Linked DNA regions of Pelodiscus sinensis. The protein of the gene in region 1 purifies or fractionates together with the protein of each later gene. This does not show direct contact. Links are inferred from orthologs where the notes say so. Each region holds a gene or a part of one and is shown in the gene's direction. Other genes may lie near its edges.

Region 1 (7,093 bases):
GATGCAGGGAGTGGGAGGACGGGGAGCTGCAGGGCCCTGGCTGTGCAGCTGTACCCAGTGGGGCTCAGTCAGCGCCACATGTGGGGGCTGAGGATGCTTAACCTGGGCCCCCAAGCAGTGCCCCCTGCCTGCGAGGATCCTGCTTCCCCACCGGACATGGGTGCTGGCGGAGCCTTGATTTCCAGCAGCTCCCCTGGTTCATGGGGCTCACCTGTGGCCTGCCCCCTTCTCGCAGGGTCCCCGTACTACGACAATGTGCGTCCTCTCTGCTACAGCGACTCTGATGCCGTCCTGCTCTGCTTTGATGTGGGCCGCCCTGAGACCATGGACAGTGCCCTGAAGAAGGTGAGGGGGGGCCCATGGCACATCTGAGCACTCATGTGGAGCAGGGGGCCCTGGGGCAGTTGGCCCCAGACAGAGATGAGGTGGTGTGCTTCCAGCCAGCAGTGACAAGAGCTGGTGGCAACCCTGGGGTGTTCTAAGGGCCCTGCCCCCCAGCTCTCCGCACTCGCATCCAGCAGGCCTTCCCCAGGGGTCTGACCGCAGGGGTGAGGTATTTCATACTGGGAAGGCCAAGCCCCTCTCATGGGGAGCCAAACACTCCTGTGCCCCCAGAGCCGTTCTATAGCTGGAGGCTAAACCCTGGGGGTGACCCCTAAATTTCCTTCTCCCAAGACTCTCTGCTTGGCTTAAACATGGGGGGGAGCTTCCTCTGCCCCACTGCCTGAGAGTAGCACCCCCGTCGCTGCCTGTGCTGTTCCTGTGGGCACCAGCTGTTTCTTCCCGGAGATGGGGGTGACCCTGGGGTTCAAACATGGGGTTGGGAGGGGAATGTTTCTTTAACCCCCTTTGCCAGGGCTCAGACCTGGGGTCACTGCCCAGAACGACCCGCCCACAAGCCACTCTCAGCTAGTCCTGGGGTGAGGTGGCTTGGACTGGGGTGATCGCTGCAGGATCCAGTGGTGGGGTGAGGTTCCCGACTGGGCTGAGCTGTGTTGTCACCAGGGTAGCGCTGTGGGGCCCACGCCCTTCCTGTGGCTGGGACCCAGAGATAGTGCAAGGGCTGGGCTGCTGATAGTCCTGTGGGCTGCAGCTGAGTCAGGCCAGGGGATTTAAGCCTGGTGACTCCAGCTCCAGGGCCTGATTCACTTGGGGTTTCTCCATGCAGTGGAAGACAGAAATTCTGGACTATTGTCCCAGCACCCGGGTCCTGCTGATTGGCTGCAAGACAGATCTGCGGACTGACTTGAGCACCCTAATGGAGCTGTCCCACCAAAAGCAGGCGCCCGTCTCCTATGAGCAGGTGAGTGGGCTCAGCTCGTCCCCCATCGGCCAGGACTGCTCCTAAAAGGGGGGTGCCCAGGCTCCAGTTCAGATCCCAACCCAGAGGGGCTGGCTTTCTGGTTCCAGCATGGCTGGAGCTCTGCACCAGAAGCTTGGCTTAGTGCCACAGCCCCAAACCTACCTGGCCAGCAGCTTCCAAGCTCTGTCTGGCTCTGTCTGATGGCTCTTTCCTTGGCTGGCTTACAGGGCTGTGCTGTGGCCAAGCAGCTGGGAGCAGAGAGCTACCTGGAGTGCTCCGCCTTCACATCGGAGAAGAGTGTGCACAGCATCTTCCGGACAGCATCTGCCATCTGCCTGAGCAAGGCCGGCCCCCCGGCTCCCAAGAGTCCCGGGCGCAGCCTCTCCAAGAGACTCCTGCACCTGTCCAGCCGCTCCGAACTCCTGTCTTCCACCTTCAAGAAGGAGAAGGCTAAAAGCTGCTCCATCATGTGAAGGGGCCTGGCCCCGGGGCAGGGACGGACAGACCAAACCCCAACTCTGGCCTCTGGATGTTCTCGAGCCGATGCTATGGGGGAGGGGTGGGGGGCTGCCTGGTGGCCCAGGCCAGATGGGGCGGTGACACCTCAGCCTGCAGAGAGGCCTCTAGTTCCCGACTGGCCTAAGCAGCCCCAGGATTGGCCCTTCACCATCCCAGTGCTTCCCACGCTGACTCAGCACGCGTTCTCCGAGGAAGAGAGAGTCGGGTGATGAGCGCCCCGGGGCGTCTCGATGCAGAAGGACCTTGGCAAGCAGCTGCTCTTGACACGTGCCCCCCCCCCCCCCTTGGAGCAGGGGGGAGGGGGAAATCCATCCATTTCTTTGAATGCCCACTCGGTGTCTGGCTGTGACGCATCCCCTTCATCTGCTGCTTGTCTCTGGAGCCGGCTGCTTCTAGGCTCACGTTACCCGCTTCCCGCGCGGGGGCGGCTCCACCTTTGCCTCTGGGGGGGCAGGAGGCAACTGGTTTATAGACTTTGGGGGGGCAACTCGTCAGTGTTCAGTGTTATTAAAAAGCTTATTTATTATGGAAAATACACTGGCTCAGCCGTCAGCGGCAAGGGCGCCTCCTGTGTCTGTCAAAACACCTTCCCCCTTCCACCACTGCAATGCCAACCGTCTTCCCCGACAGGGTCACTAAGGCGCCTGTGGGCAGGGACTTGCCCCAGCTATGTGCAGACTGACCAAGCTGGGAACAAGCCTGGGAGCCAGGACTCCTGCTAACCACTGGTCCTAGCTGTGGGTATCCACAGGGCTCTTGCCCCTCCCTTCAGCCACATCACCTCCAGCAGGGCTACTGTGGGTGTGGAGGTGACGCCAGCTCCTGTCTCTGTCTGGTTGAGTGAGCGTCCGGTGGGCCACTCAGCCCTGGAGCAAGTGAGTCACTGTCCTAGCAGTGTGAGTCTTAGGGCAAAGTCTGGCCAGCGGAGGCAGGGCCAGATTCCTGGTGCTCTGTGTTGGGTGCAGCACCCCCGTGTGGCAGAAACAAGAGGGGACTTGGCTTTGAGGAAGGACAGGAGCTTAGTTATGGCTGCACACAGACCCCCTGCTTCATGCTCTGCCCAGGGGAAGGGGCTGGTGAGGGCTGGGATGAATTTCAATAGATAGAGCCTATTTCTGGCTGTAGTGAAACAGTTGCTGCCCCTTTGCCCTCTTACCTGCATGGTGGTCCCTGGGCCGGTCCCTGCCAGGACAGCAGGGCCGATCCCTGCCAGGACAGCAGGGCTCTCTCCTGAGACTGGTGGAACTCAACTCTGCTAGGGTGCAGAGAGAGGCAAGGGGATGTGATCACAGTATAAGGACCCTTCAGGCCACAGTGACTATGGGGTTCTGGTCCAGGCAGTGGGGTTGGTGTCTAGGGCCAGCCTGGCCCTGTAACTCACAGCAGCTCCTTCTGCTGTGGCAGACAGTCGGGAGGGAGGTGGTTTGGTTACAGCTGTCCTTCTCTCTCCTCCCCTGCCCCCTCTTCAGCCCAGCCCCTTCTTCACAGCAATCAGTGGGGCCATGAGCTTGGCCGGGCCAGCCCCAGGAAGTCTCCCATTGCCCCTGAAGCTGTGACTGCAGTGGTTCTAACATATTGGGGGGACGAGGGGGGCTCTTCAGACTGGCCCCAGAGGGCTCCCTGTCCTGGAGATTCTGAGCCACCGGCTCACAGCGGGCCAATAGCCCCGTGGGCTGACACTCTCCCTTGGAAATGTTGGGCTGCAGAACCAGCTGGCTCAAGAGAGCTGGAAGCCCTGGGTGTTAAGCTAGTGAGATCCTGGTGAATGAAGTGGAGGAGTCTACCCTGGCTCTGGCTGCCGGGTTGAGGAGCGTCCCCAGGGGCCGTGCTGCTGGTGGGGAGAGGAGGAGCAGGCTTGGTGTCTTCTGCGGAGCCCAGCTGCATGGGAACCCAATGCACAGAGGCTGGATGGGTGGGGGCAGGGCTGGGTGCACAGGAGGAACTGGAGCAGGGGCGGTGAGGCCAGAGGGCGGTGTTGGGGGGGGGGGGAGAGGGAGAAAGAAGCAGCAGTGAGGCCAGGGCCAGTGATAATGAGGGTGGGGGTACAGGCAGGAATGGGGGGAGGAGGAAGGGCAGTGATGGGATTGGTGCTGGTGCAGCAGGGCAGGCTGCTGCCAGCAGTTGGGGGGGGCGGTGGCAGGGCGCGCTGGGGCAGCAGGGGGCGCTGTTTCGGACTCAGCGCCGGGAGCGACCTTCCCTAGGATGCCGGCGGCGAGCCGCGCGGTGCCTGCTGGGAGCGGTAGTTGCTGCGCTGCGGACGCGGTCGCCGCCGGCCGCCCAAGCCGGCCTCGCTTTCCCGGCATGCCGCGCGGCGTTGCGACAGTGTCGCGCGGGGGCCTGTCGTAAGATGGCGGCTGCTGCGCAGGGGCTGTGAGGCCTAGTAGGAGGCGCGGCGCGGGGTGAGTGCGGCGCTGTGGGGCCCCGGAGCGCTCTCGGGGGGAGGGGAGCCCGGCTCTCGGGGCAGCCGGTCCTGCTGCTCCTGGGGGCAGGGGCTCGAACCCGCCGCCCTGCGCCCCGCAAGCCACAGCCGGAGCCCGGGCCCTGTTGTGTCGGGGGGGGGGGCAGAGCCTGGGCCCCCTGGGGTCTCGGGGGGGGGGGCAGAGCCTGGGCCCTGGGGTCTCGGGGGGGGGGGGGCAGAGCCTGGGCCCTGGGGTCTCGGGGGGGGGGGGCAGAGCCTGGGCCCTGGGGTCTCGGGGGGGGGGGCAGAGCCCGGATCTCTGGGGTCTCTGGGGGGGGGGCAGAGCCCGGATCCCTGGGGTCTCTGGGGGGGGGCAGAGCCCGGATCTCTGGGGTCTCTGGGGGGGGGGCAGAGCCCGGATCCCTGGGGTCTCTGGGGGGGGGGCAGAGCCCGGACCCCTGGGGTCTCTGGGGGGGGGGCAGAGCCCGGATCCCTGGGGTCTCGGGGGGGGGCAGAGCCCGGATCCCTGGGGTCTCGGGGGGGGCAGAGCCCGGATCTCTGGGATCTCTGGGGGGGGCAGAGCCCGGATCCCTGGGATCTCTGGGGGGGGGGCAGAGCCCGGATCCCTGGGGTCTCGGGGGGGGCAGAGCCCGGATCTCTGGGTTCTCGGGGGAGGGAGGGGCAGAGCACGGACCTCTGGGCAGTCTCGTGGGGTCAGGACAATGTTCCCTCTAATTCCTTCCATCCATGTGCAGAATACATTTTGCGTGCCCTGAGGCATGTGTGAATGTGCACCACCAGTAGGAACAAAAACCTAGCTGGGGGCGCTCTGCTAATCATCTGGGTGGCATCTGAATGTCTCCTGAGCAGCCGCACAAGCGCCCAGCTTAGAGGGAATAGTCTGGGATGCGGAGGAAGCCCCCTCTGCTGGGTTCTCTCGCATGGTTGGGGAAGAGGCGGAAGGGAGTCTGGGAAAAGCCCTGCAAATCCACAGATATCTGTGGGTGTCCCCACACGCGGATGTGGATGTGTGTATCTACGGCTCATTTGCGTGGATGTGGTTGCAAATGTTGGATCTATAACACTGCATATATTCTGGTCATCTGTGGATGACCCTTTTATACCCACAGGTCCTGCTTGGATACCGCTGCTAGGGATGTAAATATACAAAGTGAACTGGTTAAACGATTTAATTGTAATCAATGAACCGGTTAACTGTATTGCTGGGGTCTGGCCATCCTGCTGTGGGGGGGGCTCTGCCCTCTGTGTGCGGGTGGGGGACTGCTCTGGCCAGCCTGCTGGGGTTGCGCTGTGCTGTAGATGAGGAATTGCTCCAGTTGGCCAGCTGTGGTCACGCCACGCTGTGGACTGCTGTGGCCATCCACTTGGGGTCGCACTGTGGGCGAGGGACTGCTTCAGCCAGCCCACTGGGGTTATGTCACGCTACGGGTTGGGGACTGCTTTGTGTTGTGCTGCGGGACTGCTCCAGCCAGCCCACTAGGGTCAGGCCACGTCACAGGTGGGGGGGCTGGTCCAGCCGGTCAGCTGGGGTCGTGCCATGGGCGGGGGACCACTCTGGCCCACGGGTTCCTGTCAGCCGGGCCACAGCAGATGGGGGACTGCTTCTTCCCCCCCCCCTCCGTTTAACCAGTTATCTGGTGAGCATGCTAGTATGGCTAATGCTTACAGGTAACCTTTTACGTCCTTAATGGATGCGGATATCCGCAGCTCACTTTTGCAGATACAGATGCAGGTACAGAACTTTGTGTCTGTGCAGGGGTCTATTCCTTGGTTCTTTCGTGGAGTTGCGGGGGAAGTGGACTCCTGGATTCTCTCCCAGGGTTAGGGTCATGGGTTTACTGTGGTAACCCTGTATTAAAAAGGGTGTATGTCCTGTGAACTGCCCAGACACCCCTGCTGCACCAAGGCCAAAATAGGGAATCACCCTCTTCCCTTCCCCTCTGCCCTTGGGCCAATTCTGGATGGGAGTCAGCGCCCCCCAGAGGGGAAGATCCTCATTCTCTGCTCTCCCCAAGCCAGCCCGCACCTAATGATGTGTCCCGTGTATTTTTTTTTGGGGGGGGGGGGCAGTGCCAAGCTAATGGAAGCTCAGTTCCCCTCTCACACCCTCCACACCCCCATTAACAGCCTCTTACTGCCCTGCACAGATGGCTGGTGACGTGCCCGACAAGAAGGAGCGGGACTTGTCACCCCCCAAGGAGGAGAGGAAACGTGCGAGCTCCCTGGACAGGGACCGTGACAGGAAGCGACACAGGTCTCGGGAGAGGAGGCGGGGCAGCCGATCAAGATCCCGCTCCCGTTCCAAGTCAGCTGAGAGGTAGCAGCCTCCAGGCCTAGGGGTGGGGGGCCGTGTGGTTGGCTCTGACAGGCTGGTAACTGATCCCCCGGCTCTACCCTTGTAGGGAGCGGAGACAAAAAGAGCGTGAGCGGAATAAGAAGGATCGCGAGAGGGAGAAAGATGGGCACCGGCGGGACAAGGACAGGAAACGCTCCAGGTAAAACCTTGCACCCCCACCTCTGCCAGTGCGTACAGTGTTATGGGAGAGTTTCTGGGAATGCAACCACTTCTGGGGTGCAGCATGAGACATCCGCACTGCACTGGCACCCGTTTGTCAGGTTAAGACTGGAAATGAGCGGGGTCTGGCCGGGCTGGAGATTTCAGGGAGCAGAATGTCCTTGGCCAAGGTGTGATGTTGGGGTCTTGCCACCACCCTGTGGAGCCGATAACGATGGCGAGGGGCAGGGCCCTGGTTCCCCTTCTCCTCCAGGAGATGTCGGCTCCAGCAGGCAGCGCCTCCTGCCCAGTAGTCGCTGAGCCAGCAGCCCCTCTTCCTGCTGTATCTCGGCTTTGC
Region 2 (7,865 bases), on another chromosome or scaffold:
AGCACTGTAAAGACTAACAAGATGGTTTATTAGGTGATGAGCTTTCGTGGGCCAGACCCACTTCCTCAGATCAAATTGTGGAAGAAAATAAGCACGACCACATATCCCAAAGGGATACAACCAAAACAAAGTGAACACGCATAAAAAGGACAAATCGAATTTCAGAGGGGGGGGGAGAGGGGTAAATGTCTGTGAGCTAATGCTATTGGAGGTGATAATTGGGGAAGCTCTTTGGAATGGGTAAGATAATTAATGTCTTTGTTAAGACCCCAGCGTAAAGTGTCGAATTGAAGCATGAATGACAGTTCCGAGGTTTCTCTTTCAAGTCTGGTGTTAATGTCTTTGAAGCAGGATGCAGGCGTCACCTAATAAACCATCTTGTTAGTCTGTAAAGTGCCGCACAGCCCTGGCTGGTGTTTCAGACTCTCACGGCTGCATCTCTAGTACTATGGGGCTAGTCTGGCTCTTCCAGGGGCTCCGGGCTGCAGGTCTCTGAGAAGCATCAGTCGGGGGCTGTTCTTCCAAGGCCACTGGCCTTTAGATCTGAGAACCCTCGGGGAGGGGAGCGTGGCTCTTTGCTGCTCAGTGGCTGGGTGCGTGGGAGGCCACCCAGGAGGGTTTCAGATGCTGCCCAGCGGATTAGCAGAGCACCCATGGCCGGCAGCCTGCTTCTCCTGGTGGTGCACGTTTCACAGGTCTCAGTGCAGAGAACACCTATTCCGCCCGGGGGGATGAGAGGGAACATGGGTTGGGGTGCTGCGTCTCTGAAGATCGCTGGGTTGAGGGCCTTTGAGTCCTTGGTCTGGGGGGGGGGGGGTCTCTGCCCCTTGAAAGGGGTGAGGGTGTCCCAGATGAATAGGCTTTGTGCTCTGGAGCAGCCCGGAGTGGATCGTGGCTAGGCTGCCTCGTGTGGCACTCTCCTAGGGTACACCCTGCGGGCCCTGCCTCAGAGCTGTCAGCACCCGTTCCACACTGCGAGCTCCCTTCAGGGACGTCTGCCAGTCTGGATCAGCGTAGAAAGCAGGATGTTCCAGCCAGCCCCAGCCCCTAGGTCTCTGCCCCAGGGGTAGGGGCCCCAGCCCCAGGGGTAGGGGCCCCAGCCCCAAGCTTTGCTTTCCAGCGGGTCAGAATGGGCCAGCTTCCTGCCAGTGCAGGCTCAGCGGTTGCCAGGTACCACTGGCTGCCTGTTGGTTGGGCCCAAGACGCTAGTAGAGGCGGGCTGGGCTAGGGGGTCTCTGCAGACTCACCCCCTTGTCCCGCCACAGGGTGAATCACGCAGCCTGCCTGGAAATGGAGACCCCCAGTATCCACACCACTGGGTTCTGGTCTTGGGGGTATGGGGCACTGGCCTGAGATGAGCCTCAGTTCCCTGAGGGCCACTCTGAGGCTAGTGAGAGCCAGGACTCCTGGGCTCTATTCCCGGCTCACTGGGGTTAGTGGCGGAGCAGTGGCCACGGGGGACCAGGCTCTGCATGCTGGAGGGGCGAAGCCTGGACGGTGTGTGCTGCGCCAGTGGAGGTTGGGTGAGGGCAGCAGGAGCCTGGCTGATCTCCTAGGGCAGGAAACGGTTGTTGAAGGCGGTCAGAGCCGCAGGCAGGGCCCTGATGGAGCGTTTCCTGCTTTGCCTGTCCCTGTGGCCCGAGAGCCTCCTTTGGCTGAATGAATGGGGATTTCTCAGACCCACAAGTTGAGCCCAGTGCAGCAGTGGGGGGAGCTCTCACCGGGCAGGCAGGACGTTTGTTCCGCACAGCACCCGCTGGAGTAGCCAGGAGCTCCCCTGCCCCAGCCGTTGCCCTGCCCCCTGCACTCAGCGCCCCCCACTGCTGGCCAGAGGTGACCAAACAGTGAATTCACGTGGCTGAGCCCAGGCCCCGACAGAACACGTTTATTATTGGAAAAGCATCGCCTCAGTGCAAAGGTTTGGCCTTGAAAGGTCCCCACTTCCCGAAGAACCGCAAGGCAGAGGGAGCATCTCTGCCTCCTTAACCCGGGGGGGAGGGTTTCTAGTCCATCCAAGCCAGACACGGCCCCTTCCCATTCTGTCTGTCCCTTGAGCTGAGCTTGCAGCCCCTGCTAGCCCACCCTGGGTCCCCCACACTGCATGTTTCTCCTGCATTGGATGGCATGGAATAGGACTCCCCTACCCCCTCTGGCTCTTCTCCTTTCCCTGCTCCCGTCCTACCCCAAATCAATCAGGTCTCCCTGTGTTGGCTGGGTCCCTTCTGCCCTGGCCTCCTTCCACTTCGCCCGCAGCTTCACAATCTCCTTCCCAAACTGCTGGTGCAGCCCCTCAAAGTCTGGCAATCCCACCGCTGACACCACTGGGCGGTGCTGAACAGCCCATTCCTTTGGCGGGGCAACCCCATTGGCCCGGTACTGTCCCTCTAGCTCAGTCACCAGAGCCCGCAGGTAGTCAAAGCTGGCCGTGCTCAGAGCCCGTACCCAGCCCTCCATGGAGGCCTGGTCTTCGGCAGCCATCTTGTAAGCTCGGTGGCCCGACCGGTAGGAGATTTCAAAGGTGAAAGGCTCTGTGGCGGATTCCTGTAGCTCCACCGTGCAGCCCTCCAGCAGGATCAGCCCCAGCGGCTCCCGGTCCCCCTGCCGCTCCCAGTAGAAGAGCAAGTTCCCTCGCAGTTCGCACCAGCGGCGCTGGTAGGTGCTGCTGCGTTCGCTCTTCTTGTACAGCCGGCCCTGGCGGTCGGGGGGCACTGCCACGCGGGAGTAGCCCAGGACGCCGGTTTCATGCAACTTCATGTGGGCAGGGACCTGAGAGAGGGGAGACAGGGAACAGGACGTGGGGCCTTTCCCGGGCAGGGCCCCAGCCCCAGGGCAGGGAACGGGACGTGGGGCCTTTCCCGGGCAGGGGCCCAGCCCCAGGGCAGGGAACGGGACGTGGGGCCTTTCCCGGGCAGGGCCCCAGCCCCAGGGCAGGGAACGGGATATGGGGCCTTTCCCGGGCAGGGGCCCATCCCCAGGGCAGGGAACGGGACGTGGGGCCTTTCCCGGGCAGGGCCCCAGGGCAGGGAACGGGACGTGGGGCCTTTCCCGGGCAGGGGCCCAGCCCCAGGGCAGGGAACGGGACGTGGGGCCTTTCCCGGGCAGGGCCCCAGGGCAGGGAACGGGACGTGGGGCCTTTCCCGGGCAGGGGCCCAGCCCCAGGGCAGGGAACGGGACGTGGGGCCTTTCCCGGGCAGGGCCCCAGGGCAGGGAACGGGACGTGGGGCCTTTCCCGGGCAGGGGCCCAGCCCCAGGGCAGGGAACGGGACGTGGGGCCTTTCCCGGGCAGGGCCCCAGGGCAGGGAACGGGACGTGGGGCCTTTCCCGGGCAGGGGCCCAGCCCCAGGGCAGGGAACGGGACGTGGGGCCTTTCCCGGGCAGGGGGCCCAGCCCCAGCCCCAGCCCCAGGGCAGGGAACGGGACGTGGGGCCTTTCCCGGGCAGGGGCCCAGCCCCAGGGCAGGGAACGGGATGTGGGGCCTTTCCCGGGCAGGGGGCCCAGCCCCAGGGCAGGGAACGGGATGTGGGGCCTTTCCCGGGCAGGGGCCCAGCCCCAGGGCAGGGAACGGGATGTGGGGCCTTTCCCGGGCAGGGGGCCCAGCCCCAGCCCCAGCCCCAGGGCAGGGAACGGGATATGGGGCCTTTCCCGGGCAGGGGCCCAGCCCCAGGGCAGGGAACGGGATGTGGGGCCTTTCCCGGGCAGGGGGCCCCAGGGCAGGGAACGGGACGTGGGGCCTTTCCCGGGCAGGGCCCCAGCCCCAGGGCAGGGAACGGGACATGGGGCCCAGGGCTGGGGGCCCGGAGTTCAGGGCAAGGCTGGCTCAGGGGGCCCAGCGCAGAGGGCCCAGGGCAGGGCAAGGGGAGCGGGGCGCAGGGCGGGGCCCGGGCCTAGGGGGCCAGGGCGGGAGGCTCAGCAAGGGGGGCTCGGGGCGGGGCAAGTCGGGGGGGGCGGGGCGCAGGGCGGGGGGTTCGGGGCGGGGGACTCAGCACGGGAGCCCAGGGCGGGGCTCAGCTCGGGGGGGCGGGGCTCGGGGCGGGGGGGGCGGGGCCCGGGCCTGGGGGGCTCGGGGCTCGGCGCGGGGGGGGCTCGGGGCGGGGGGGGGCGGGGCTCGGGGCGGGGGGCTCAGCTCAGGGGGGGCGGGGCTCGGGGCGGGGCCTGAGACGGGGGGTTCGGGGCGGGGGACTCAGCACGGGAGCCCAGGGCAGGGCACAGGGCTCAGCGCGGGGGGGCGGGGCTCGGGGGGCTCAGCGCGGGGGGGCGGGGCTCGGGGCGGGGGGGCTTAGCTCGGGGGGGGGGCGGGGCCCGGGCCTGGGGGCGGGGGGGCTCAGCTCGGGGGGGGGGGGGGCTCGGGGAGGGGGGGGGCCGCTCCCCGCCCGGGCTCGTTACCTGGCTCCTGCCCGGCTCTGCCCGCGCGGCTGCTCCCTCCCGGCCCCGCCCCCCGGAAGTGTCTCGCGGCAGCCAGGGCGCGGCCGGCTCCGCTCGGTCCTAAGGCGACCCGGGTTCGCGGGGGGGGGCAGGGCCCCACTCGCCCCCCCCCCCCGGTGAAACACGAGGGGCCGGGCCCCTTGCCCCCCCCCCGGAAAACAGGGGGGGCCGGTGCGCCTGCCGGGGGGGGCGCAGGGGGCGTGGCCCCGTGGAGGGGGAGGGGCCTATGCCCTGGGCCTGTCCCGTCAGACCCGAGGTGCTGGGGGGGGGGGGGGCGGGGCGCTTGCTGCCCCTTTAAGCGTTGCCATGACTCCCGCTCCGCACGGCAGCCAATGAAGCCGCAGCTAGCGGTGGCTGCCCGGAGAAAACGTCACTTCCGGCCCCTCCGCCAACCCGCCGTTGGGCTCCTGCGCGATGGGGGGCCCTCGCTCAGGTGCCATTGTGACGTCACCTATCGCGCTATTCGCCCGAACGAGATCAACCCGGCGCGAGAGGCGGGGCGAGGGCCTGCGGCGACGTCACATCCGGGCAGAGTGACCCGGAAGTGGCTGCCGCGCGAGGGCGCTCTGCGAGCCCCGGAGGTGAGTGAGTGGCGCAGCCGATGGGGGCGCTGATCTGCATATGCAAATGAGGGGCTGTGAGGGTCTTGGGGTCCCGCTGGTACCGGGGCGCCCGGCCCGAGCCGAACGGGCTGATTTGCATATGCAAATGAGGCGGCAGGACCCGTACTGCGCATTTCCCCCGGGCCGGACTATTGCATCTTATTTGCATATGCAAATTAGGCATCACAGGGGGGCCCTTGGCTGGGCTGAACCGAGCGCTTGGGCCCGCCCAGCACGGTGGAAGCGAGTCATTTGCATATGCAAATTGGGAAGCTGCGAGGCTGGAGTTTGGGCCCGTGTCCCTGCGGGGCGGGGCCTGGGGGGCTCATTTGCATATGCAAATGCACGTTGTGCCCGGGGCGGGTTTGCAGCCTGGCGCAGAGAGGATGCTCCGGTGGCGCCTCGCCTGAGGCCGGGTCTCTGGCGTGTCATTGGCCTGTGGGGCTGCAGGTGCCTGGGGCCGCGGGGCCCGTCGTGTGGGGCTGCAGGTGCCTGGGGCCGCGGGGCCCGTCGTGTGGGGCTGCAGGTGCCTGGGGCCGCGGGGCCCGTCGTGTGGGGCTGCAGGTGCCTGGGGCCGCGGGGCCCGTCGTGTGGGGCTGCGGGTGCCTGGGGCCGCGGGGCCCGTCGTGTGGGGCTGCGGGTGCTAGGGGCAGCGGGGCCCGTCGTGTGGGGCTGCGGGTGCTAGGGGCCGCGGGGCCCGTCGTGTGGGGCTGCGGGTGCTAGGGGCAGCGGGGCCCGTCGTGTGGGGCTGCGGGTGCTAGGGGCCGCGGGGCCCGTCGTGTGGGGCTGCGGGTGCTAGGGGCCGCGGGGCCCGTCGTGTGGGGCTGCGGGTGCCTGGGGCCGCGGGGCCCGTCGTGTGGGGCTGCGGGTGCTAGGGGCAGCGGGGCCCGTCGTGTGGGGCTGCAGGTGCCTGGGGCCGCGGGGCCCGTCGTGTGGGGCTGCAGGTGCTAGGGGCCGCGGGGCCCGTCGTGTGGGGCTGCAGGTGCTAGGGGCCGCGGGCCCGTCGTGTGGGGCTGCAGGTGCTAGGGGCCGCGGGGCCCGTCGTGTGGGGCTGCAGGTGCTAGGGGCCGCGGGGCCCGTCGTGTGGGGCTGCGGGTGCTAGGGGCCGCGGGGCCCGTCGTGTGGGGCTGCAGGTGCTAGGGGCAGCGGGGCCCGTCGTGTGGGGCTGCAGCGGCGGACGCCCCCTTCCTTACTCACCTCCCTCCCCAGAGCATCGGGCCACCATGCCCAAGCGCAAGGTGACATTTGAGGACCAGGTGGAGGGGGACGAGGAGGAGCTGGCCATGCCCAAGAAGAAGGTGAGTTATGAGGGCAGGGATGTGGGGAGGGATCTCTGTGGGGCAGTGAGGCATGGGGGAGGGATACAAAGGGGAGGCCTGTTGTGCGGGTGGGGACGTGAGAGAGGTCTCTGGAGGTACCCTGGTGAAGGGTACAGGTCTCTGTTGGGAGTTGGAGGGGGTCGCTGGAGAGGGTGTGACCATGGGGTATTTGAGGGTTCTCCTGGGTGTCTCAGGATGATGCTGGTGAGTGGGGGGCCTGTTGCATCAAGGTGCTGTGTTTTGGGATGACCAAGGGAATCTAAGTCTCCCTCTCTCCCCAGCTGGCAGAGCCTGGCCTGGGGGCCAGCGGCCCCGGGAGCCGCTTCAAGGGCAAACACTCCTTGGACAGCGACGAGGAAGACGAGGATGAGGAGGGCGATGACGGCCGGGCCAGTAAATACGACATCCTGGCATCGGAGGACGTGGAGGGTGAGACCCTCGGCAGGGGAGACCAAGCTGAGTGGGCAAAGATCTGGGGAGGGGGACCCTGGGGAGTGGGTGGGAAGAAGGGAAGGATGGGAGGCAGGTGAGGGGTGAGTGTATGATCCGGGGGGAAGGAGGGGAGAATGGGGGCTGGAGAGTGCTCCTGTGGGGAGAAGTGGGGGGTCCTGCCTCGGTAGACCAATCTGGGGCTGTGCAGAGCAGGGGAGACAGGGTAGTAATGAAGTTGGGGAAATGGCAGCAGGTCTGATGGGCAGGGGGGTCTCCCAGGGGTAGGAAGTGGGGAAGACAGTGGTGGGACTGACAGGTCACAGGGTCTCCAGAGGCAGGGGCAGGAGGCAGGGAAACTGGTGGGGTAGTGTTGAGGGAGCAAACTGTGGCGGGGCTGGTGGGCAGCAGGTGACTGTGGCGGGGCTGATGACTGGGCAGGTGATAACCGTGGATGGAGGAGCTGAGGAGTAGGGGGATGACCATGGCGGGGATGACAGGTGGCCAGGGGGTGAGCGTGGCGGGGCTGGTGGGCAGGGGGTGAGCGTGGCGGGGCTGGTGGGCAGAGGGTGAATGTGGCGGGGCTGGTGGGCAGAGGGTGAGCGTGGTGGGGCTGACGGGCGGGGGGTGAGCGTGGCGGGGCTGACGGGCGGGGAGTGAGCGTGGCGGGGCTGGGGGTAGGGGGTGAGCATGGCGGGGCTGACGGGCAGGGGGTGAGCGTGGCGGGGCTGACGGGCAGGGGGTGAGCGTGGCGGGGCTGACAGGCGGGGGGTGAGCGTGGCGGGGCTGGGGGTAGGGGGTGAGCGTGGCGGGGCTGACGGGTAGGGGGTGAGCGTGGTGGGGCTGACGGGCGGGGGGTGAGCGTGGCGGGGCTGACGGGCGGGGGGTTAGCGTGGCATGCTGGGGGTAGGGGGTGAGCGTGGCGGGGCTGACGGGCGGGGGGTGAGCGTGGCGGGGCTGGGGGTAGGGGGTGAGCGTGGCGGGGCTGACGGGTAGGGGGTGAGCGTGGCGGGGCTGACGGGCGGGGGGTTAGCGTGGCGGGGCTGACGGGTAGGGGGCGAGCGTGGCGGGGCTGGGGGCAGGGGGTGAGCGT
Region 3 (6,944 bases), on another chromosome or scaffold:
GCCTGACTATCTCTAGGGCAAATCTAAAGTGCTCTGCGATATACATTCCAGTGGCATCTAGAACATACTTCCACCCACAACAGACCAACTGTTACTCTGCCCTGCTTATCAGTACCTGCACAGAAAGAAAAGTAGAGATTACAAAGGTAGACCTTCTCCTTCTGCATCAATGCTTGCTCCATCTACACAGCCATAGGTGCGAAACCCGTCTTTGGATGGGTTGCCAGGATTACAGAGATCATGTGTTCCCATATTTGCAAACCAACTTTCCTACGTCCTCGGTGCTTGGTCCAGATTACCTCAGACCAGTCGGGATGTCAAAGGGTTGTCGATTAGTCGAGTGACTACTCGCGTTCTCCCCTCCCCCTTGCTGCCTGGCTGTGTCTACACTGGCATGAATTTCCGGAAATGCTTAAAACGGAATACTACTCTGTTTTCAGTTTTTCCGGAAAAGGAGCGTCTACATTGGCAGGTTGCTTTTCTGGAAAAGCCCTTTTTCCGGAAAAGCGTCTGTGGCCAATGTAGATGCGCTTTTCCGGAAAAGAGCCCCGATCGCCATTTTCACGATTGGGGCTTTTTTCTGGAAAAGACTACTGAGCTGTCTACACTGGCCCTTTTCCGGAACAGTGTTCCGGAATAAGGACTTATGCACGAGCGGGAGCAGAATAGTTTTTCCGAAATAGCGGCTGATTTTGTACAGTAGAGCATCGTTGCTTTTCTGGAAATTCAAGGGCCAGTGTAGACAGCTTGCAGCTTAGTCCGGAAAAGCGGCTGATTTTCCGGAATAAGTGGCCCAGTGTAGACACAGCCCCGCTGTATCAGAGGCAGGCCGCGGGGCGAGGCAGGAGCCGGTGCTGGAGGGAGCTGGCTTAGAAGCAGGTTCCCAGAGCCCTGTCTGTGTCAGGCAGCCCTGACTGGCCCCCCCTGCTGGCTCTGCCGTTCAAAAGGCAGGAGGAGGCGGGCGGCCTGGGCTATACAACGTTCCCCCATTGCCCCCCCCCCCCGGCTCATGGGGGCGCGGGGAGGGGCCAGGCGCGGGGCAGGCAGAGCCAGACCTCAGGGCTCGCGCCGGGAGCCTGAGAACTTCCGCTCCCGGCTGGGGAAGGGGGAGGGGTTTCCCTGGCTCGCCGGGCCCTTCGTGCCGGGGCAGTGGGGCTGCCCGGGCCGCTTTCCGGGGGGGACTCGCGGGGCTGGCGGAAGTCGCCGCGGTTCCGGTCCGCCGCGCGCTCCGGCGGGGGTTGTGAGGTGCGGAGCGGCGCCCTGGTGAGCGGTGGGGGCGGCAGCCGCCCGGCTCGGGGGCCCTGGGTGGGCGACGGGGGTCGGCGGCAGACGGGCCTGAGGGTCTAGAGAGGGAGAGCGGAGGGGCAGACCGCGGGGGGGGGGGAGTGTTACACGGGGCCGGGCCTGTGGGAGCTGGTTTGGGGGGCGCAGACCGTGGGTCTGGGCCGGGTTATACGGGGCTATGGGAGCTGGTTTGGGGGGCGCAGACCGTGGGTCTGGGCCGGGTTATACGGGGCTATGGGAGCTGGTGGTATGTGTAGAAAGCTGCAAGGGAGCAAGTAGCTGTCTACATACCACTGGTGTGTTGGGGGCAGACTGGGGGTCCAGGGGACTGTGGTTATACCTGGGCGGGGAGACTGGGGTTCTGGGAGACTATTCCTGGCAAGGGGAAGCCTGAGGAGGAGGCTCCGCTGAGTGTGTTTATAAATACACCTTGTAAAATCTTCTCTCGCTTACTAACAGACTATGGTGAGAGGTGTGTGTCAGAGCTGTAGTCTGTGATTTTTCCCATTATCCTTACTGGAAGGACTAGACAGGGAATTGCTGTGACTAGAGTTTATGTTTTCATTGGTAAGATTTTAAGATGGATTTTTTTCTAGCTGCCGAATATCATTGTACTGCTATAGCTTTATCTCTTCTCCTCTTGGCTAGTGCGAGTGCCGTGAGGTGGTGCTTTCAGATTACAGACTGCAGTGAGAAGACTGCATATCGGGTTTGAAATAGGGATGTTAGAGTGTAGCTGAATAACCATTGACTGATAAGCTGGTGCTTTTTGGTTAATGGTTCCAGTTACACTCAGCTGACTCCGAGGGAGGTGGCTTTGCTGTGACAGGGTAGCAAAGCCTGCTCCCCAGGAGCCAGACAGGCAAAGGCTTCTGGCCCCATTCCTGGGGAGGAGGCTTCGCTGCTGCTGGTGGCCTTGCTCCGGAGGAGGCTTCACTGTGGGCTATCCAGTATAAAGTAGAGATGTAAAAATGCATTTAATCAAGTAAACATGTAACCACTGAAAATTTCAGCTGATAAATGTGGGGGAGGAGGGCAGGCAGCTCCCAAGGAGCTGGTGTGCATGGGGAACCGTCTTTTAATCTGGCTCCCTGTATGCAATGGCTGCTGCCTGCCCACCCTATATTGCTGCATGTGATATAGAGGCAGCAGCGTGGGGGAGAGAGGGGGAAAGGTGGCTCCCCGGGAGCTGGCTTTTAAGCGGTTGCACTGTTACATGTATACCAGGTTACATGTATACCAGGAGCATGCATGTAACCGTGAAGGTTAAGTGATAAGCCCAGGCTCATCAGTTAACCATGTATACGGTCACACTTTTGCAACCTAGTATAAAGTTAAGCTTTATGCTGCAGAGTATTATAGAATCATAGGGCAGGAAGAGCTCTCAGGAGGTCATCGAGTCCAGAGTCCAGCTGCCTGCCCAAAGCAGGACCAATTCCAACTAAATCATCCCAGCCAGGACTTTGTCAAGCCGGTGCTTAAAAACCTCTAGGGATGGAGATTCCACCCCTCCCTAGGGAACCCATCCCAATGCTTCACCCCGTCCTAGTGAAATAGTTTTTCCTAATATCCAACCTAGACCTCTCCCAATGCAACTTGAGACCATTGCTCCTTGTTCTGTCATCCGTCACTATTGAGAACAGCCTCTCTCCATCCTTTTTGGAACCTCCCTTCAGGAAGTTGAAAGCTGCTATCAAATCCCCCCTCACTCTTTTCTTGTGCAGACTAAATAAGCCCAAATCCCTCAGTCTTTCCTCGTAGGTCATGTGCCCCCCAATCATTTTGGTTGCCCTCTGCTGGACCCTCTCCAGTGTATCCACATCCTTTCTATAGTGGGGGGGGGGGGGGGGGGGAGAATTGAACACAGTATGGATGTGAAAATTAAATGAATCAACTAATCAAAAAATGGATGGAATTTCCATCGACTATTTGATTAGTTAATAAGGGCTCTTCCACTTTCAAATGTAGTGCTAGACCGCCTGGCTGTTGCTACATTTCAAAGGTGGAAGTGGCTTGTGGCATTCTGCCTTTGACATGTACAAGATCCCCAGCAGGGGCTCTTGTGCATTTAATAGATCGAAACGCCATGTGGAGACCAGGGCAAGTGGGGGGCTCTTGTACATGTCAAAGGTGGAATGCTGCTGCTGTGCTCCTGCCTCCTCCCACAGAGCTGGGGGGAGCCGGTACCCCCCAGCACCACCTCCTCTCTCTCACCCTGTTGCCTCTTTCTGATAGAGGCAGCAAGTGGCAGGGAAACGACTAGTTTACTACTGTGTCAACTATCTGATAAGGTTTTGCTTATTGGATAGTCAATTAGTTGCTTACATCCCTATTGCAGAGCCCCAGAGCGTGTAACCGCTCCGACTTTTAGCAGATACACCATTACCATATTCAACTATTTTAACATCCCTAGTGCTGAGGCACCTATGTATTGTTATTTGTTAAGTACTAACTGTTTTCTTTACTGCGTAAGGCACAGCTATCAAAACCACTCTTCTTCAGTGAGCATACGGTCCAGAAGTACAGCACTGGACTATATTAACTTGCAAAGGTTTTCATAAACTATCCTGGATGGAGGGATCTGTGTGTTTACATAATACAAGTGTGATGTGCTTGCCCTATCCTAGATTCTTGGTAGAGAGGCCTGACGCAACAGCCAGACCAGCAGACAAGATGGCAGAGATGCAGATAGATCCAGACCTGGCCAAGAGACTGTTTTTTGAAGGTGCCACAGTTGTCATTTTGAATATGCCTGAGGGGACAGAGTTTGGCATTGATTACAACACTTGGCATGTGGGCCCCAGGTTCCGTGGAGTCAAGATGATTCCTCCAGGCATCCATTTCTTCCACTATAGCTCTGTCAACCGGTGCAACACTAAAGAAACAGGCCCCCGTACTGGCTTCTTCTTAAGCCTGCACCAGCGAGATTTGCGGGTTCTGCACTGGAACTCATCCAATGAGGAGGTGGACCTCACCCCAGCATCTGAAGAAGAGATTGAAATAATGAGGTCAAATCTTCAGGAGATGGACAAGTTTCTTGGACCATACCCATATGAGAGCCTCAAGAAATGGATCTCTCTCACTAACTTCATCAGTGAACCAGTGATGAAGAAGCTTCAGCCAGAGAGTGGACAGATCTGTGCCTTTTCAGAAGTTCTGCCAGTTCTAGCTGGGAAGCACACCAAAGACCGAGCTGAACAGAACCTGCCCCGATATGACACAGAATGTAAGAGCTATGCAGAAGGCCTGGCCCGACTGCCCAAAATGAAGCTGAAAGCTGGCACTGAGATCCGGTTCACAGAAATGCCAAAGCAGATGTACCCTGATGGTGCTACTCCTGAGGAAATAACTAGGCATAGCATGGACCTTAGCTATGCTCTGGAAACAGTGATTAACAAGCAGTGTTCCAGCCAACCCCAAGATGTGCTTGGTGAGTATAATGGCTGTCCTAGAAACTGAGTCATTGCAAGCTAGTTTAAACGCTTATCAGTAAGAGGGTGTCCAGCTATCATAGACTATAGCAGGGCTACTCAACTTTGGAAGCCCCGGGGGCCACAATGATACTCAACATATGCCAAGGGCCACAACTTACTGTGGTTGCATATGCATGCAAATATATATGCAAATAGCTTCTTTCACACCGACAGGTATGAATACAAAGCTTAAGGCAAGACTACACAACACACAGGCCCCATTTAAGTCAGTTCTGCTGATATTAATAAAATGTAGTATTTACCCGATTTCTGCCCATATGACAGCACTTTAAATGAGCAATGACAGTCCAGAAATTTAACTACTAAAACACATACCAACAAAAGACCATTATATTGACTGCTTTTTTGTTTTGGCTCCCACCTATGGGCTGCGTGTTGAGCCCTGCATAAATCCCAACCACACCACAGGACGCAAACAAATGAGCTGTGGGCCACGTGGCCCACATATGGTCCTGGACTATAGTATGGAATTAGGAATCAGAACACTTAGGTCTTAGTTCCACTCTTGCCAATAAATTAGCATTTGGACTTTTGGCAAGTCATTTAGCCTCTCTGTGCCTCCAGTTATCCATCTATAAAATAAGGATAATACAGTGCCTGTTTCACAGGGTGTTTGGGGGCTTAATGTGTTGTGCAGCATTTTGAGATTCTTAAGTGAGAAGTGCTTTTACAAGCAATTTGCTATGCGTGAATGTTCAGAGCAGCATGTGGAATGTTGGCTATGAGCTCTCAGTGTTGCGATGTGAGTCTTGAAGAAGTGGCTTCATCCCATGTACATGGTTTTTTTAGTCTCCAACTCATTGTTTTTTAAGTTTTTCCCCAATATTCCTTTCACATCCATCTCTGGGTTTTCTCCTCCATCCCACATTATCTGGTTCCACCTCTGCTGGCAACCTGCCAATTAACTAATTACATAAAAATACGTTTTAAAAGGAAGTAAGCCACCAGCCTTATATTATTTTCATTGAAAAAGGTGATTACTGGGAACAGTCTGGATGGTGCAGGAAGAGTATATTGAAATCATTACTTGCAGCACGATGGGTATCAACATAATTGTTCAGCTTAGGAACAGAAAAAATGGGTTATTCCAGACATAGAAAAATGCTACAAATAGGACATCACTGTGACATGCAGAAATTGGTATGTTGGCTTTGGCTCCTACAGCACTGTAGCCATTTATTGTTAATTTGTTATCCATTTTTTCATTAAAAAAACTAAGCAGAAGCAAATCTTGAACAAATTCATTTCTCTCCCCTCCCTTCCCTTCCCCTCCATACTAGAGCAGCAGAGGCTGAAAGGGAAGAAGCAAGCTTAGGAAGGCGAAACCTCTTGTGCTTTGCTGGTGACGCCTTCTGGTAGGATTTGGAGATTATTGTGAGGAAAAGCTTTGAACAAAGACTGTATTCATTGTACAGAAGAATGTGACATGCATTATTTACTGACATATCACAAATTAGCAGCTGGTGGCCCTCAATAGTATTGCTGTAATTAGCTGCTAACTCTGTTGGAAATAATGGCAGCGTCTGTTACAAGTTAATGCCAACTCTATTGAGAACTCTGAAATCCAGCCGAGATGACACGGTTACCCTTAAGATAAACCCTGGATGCTTGCTTCTCATGTTCTTGTCATTTTATCTGTTAACTATGTACCTCCTAAAAAAGCAGAACTCTGTTCTGAAATGTTCTGAGAGATAAAAATAGCTAGTTTCCTTCCCAGCTAACAAACATTTCCCAGTGCTCTGTGAAAAGCATATGCAGAAACGGTTGTGATAAAAAGGATATCTAAACATCTGGTAATGCTGAATCCTGCCTGGCAAAATAAAGCCACATCTATAGTACCGGCTATGGCGTTGATGTCCTGTAGTTTAGATGATACCTACAATGATGAAAGGAATTTTTTCCATTGCTGTTGGTAATCTACCTCTTTGAGTACTGATAGTGGAATTTTTCCATCAGTTTAGTCTAATCTGGGGTTAGGATGGTATATCTATAGCTCTCAACTATGTAGATTTTTCATACCCAGGGCACCTAACTTTGAAACATGGACCAGGTCTAGGAAAGCAAAGCTGCTGTAATAGCAATACCACATTGTCTTCTGCACATATAATATCATAGATTGCTCTTACTGTCTGCCTCTGTGTGTCCATACTGTAGTTCCCACACCAC

Evidence for each region.
Region 2: the proteins of DDX23 (region 1) and CD2 antigen cytoplasmic tail-binding protein 2 purify together in Homo sapiens (affinity purification with mass spectrometry; 6 studies listed by BioGRID and IntAct, counting the BioPlex papers as one, with this or other methods). This does not show direct contact. The link is inferred for Pelodiscus sinensis from reciprocal best matches to the Homo sapiens genes DDX23 and CD2BP2.
Region 3: the proteins of DDX23 (region 1) and AAR2 purify together in Homo sapiens (affinity purification with mass spectrometry; 3 studies listed by BioGRID and IntAct, counting the BioPlex papers as one, with this or other methods). This does not show direct contact. The link is inferred for Pelodiscus sinensis from reciprocal best matches to the Homo sapiens genes DDX23 and AAR2.

What each region holds. Positions count from the first base shown.
Region 1 is NC_134729.1:5,091,233-5,098,325, forward strand, and holds the start of DDX23 (putative ATP-dependent RNA helicase DDX23), read left to right. Parts: upstream 1-4,067; 5' UTR 4,068-4,221; intron 4,222-6,388; coding exon 6,389-6,558; intron 6,559-6,643; coding exon 6,644-6,736; intron 6,737-7,093. Other genes in the region: RND1 (rho-related GTP-binding protein Rho6), read left to right, coding at 236-345, 1,169-1,303, 1,531-1,776. UniProt on the Homo sapiens protein: Involved in pre-mRNA splicing and its phosphorylated form (by SRPK2) is required for spliceosomal B complex formation.
Region 2 is NC_134714.1:134,633,094-134,640,958, forward strand, and holds the start of CD2 antigen cytoplasmic tail-binding protein 2, read left to right. Parts: upstream 1-4,827; 5' UTR 4,828-5,003; intron 5,004-6,233; 5' UTR 6,234-6,247; coding exon 6,248-6,322; intron 6,323-6,624; coding exon 6,625-6,772; intron 6,773-7,865. Other genes in the region: sesquipedalian-1-like, read right to left, coding at 2,179-2,754. UniProt on the Homo sapiens protein: Involved in pre-mRNA splicing as component of the U5 snRNP complex that is involved in spliceosome assembly.
Region 3 is NC_134728.1:30,148,805-30,155,748, forward strand, and holds the start of AAR2 (protein AAR2 homolog), read left to right. Parts: upstream 1-3,891; coding exon 3,892-4,714; intron 4,715-6,944. UniProt on the Homo sapiens protein: Component of the U5 snRNP complex that is required for spliceosome assembly and for pre-mRNA splicing.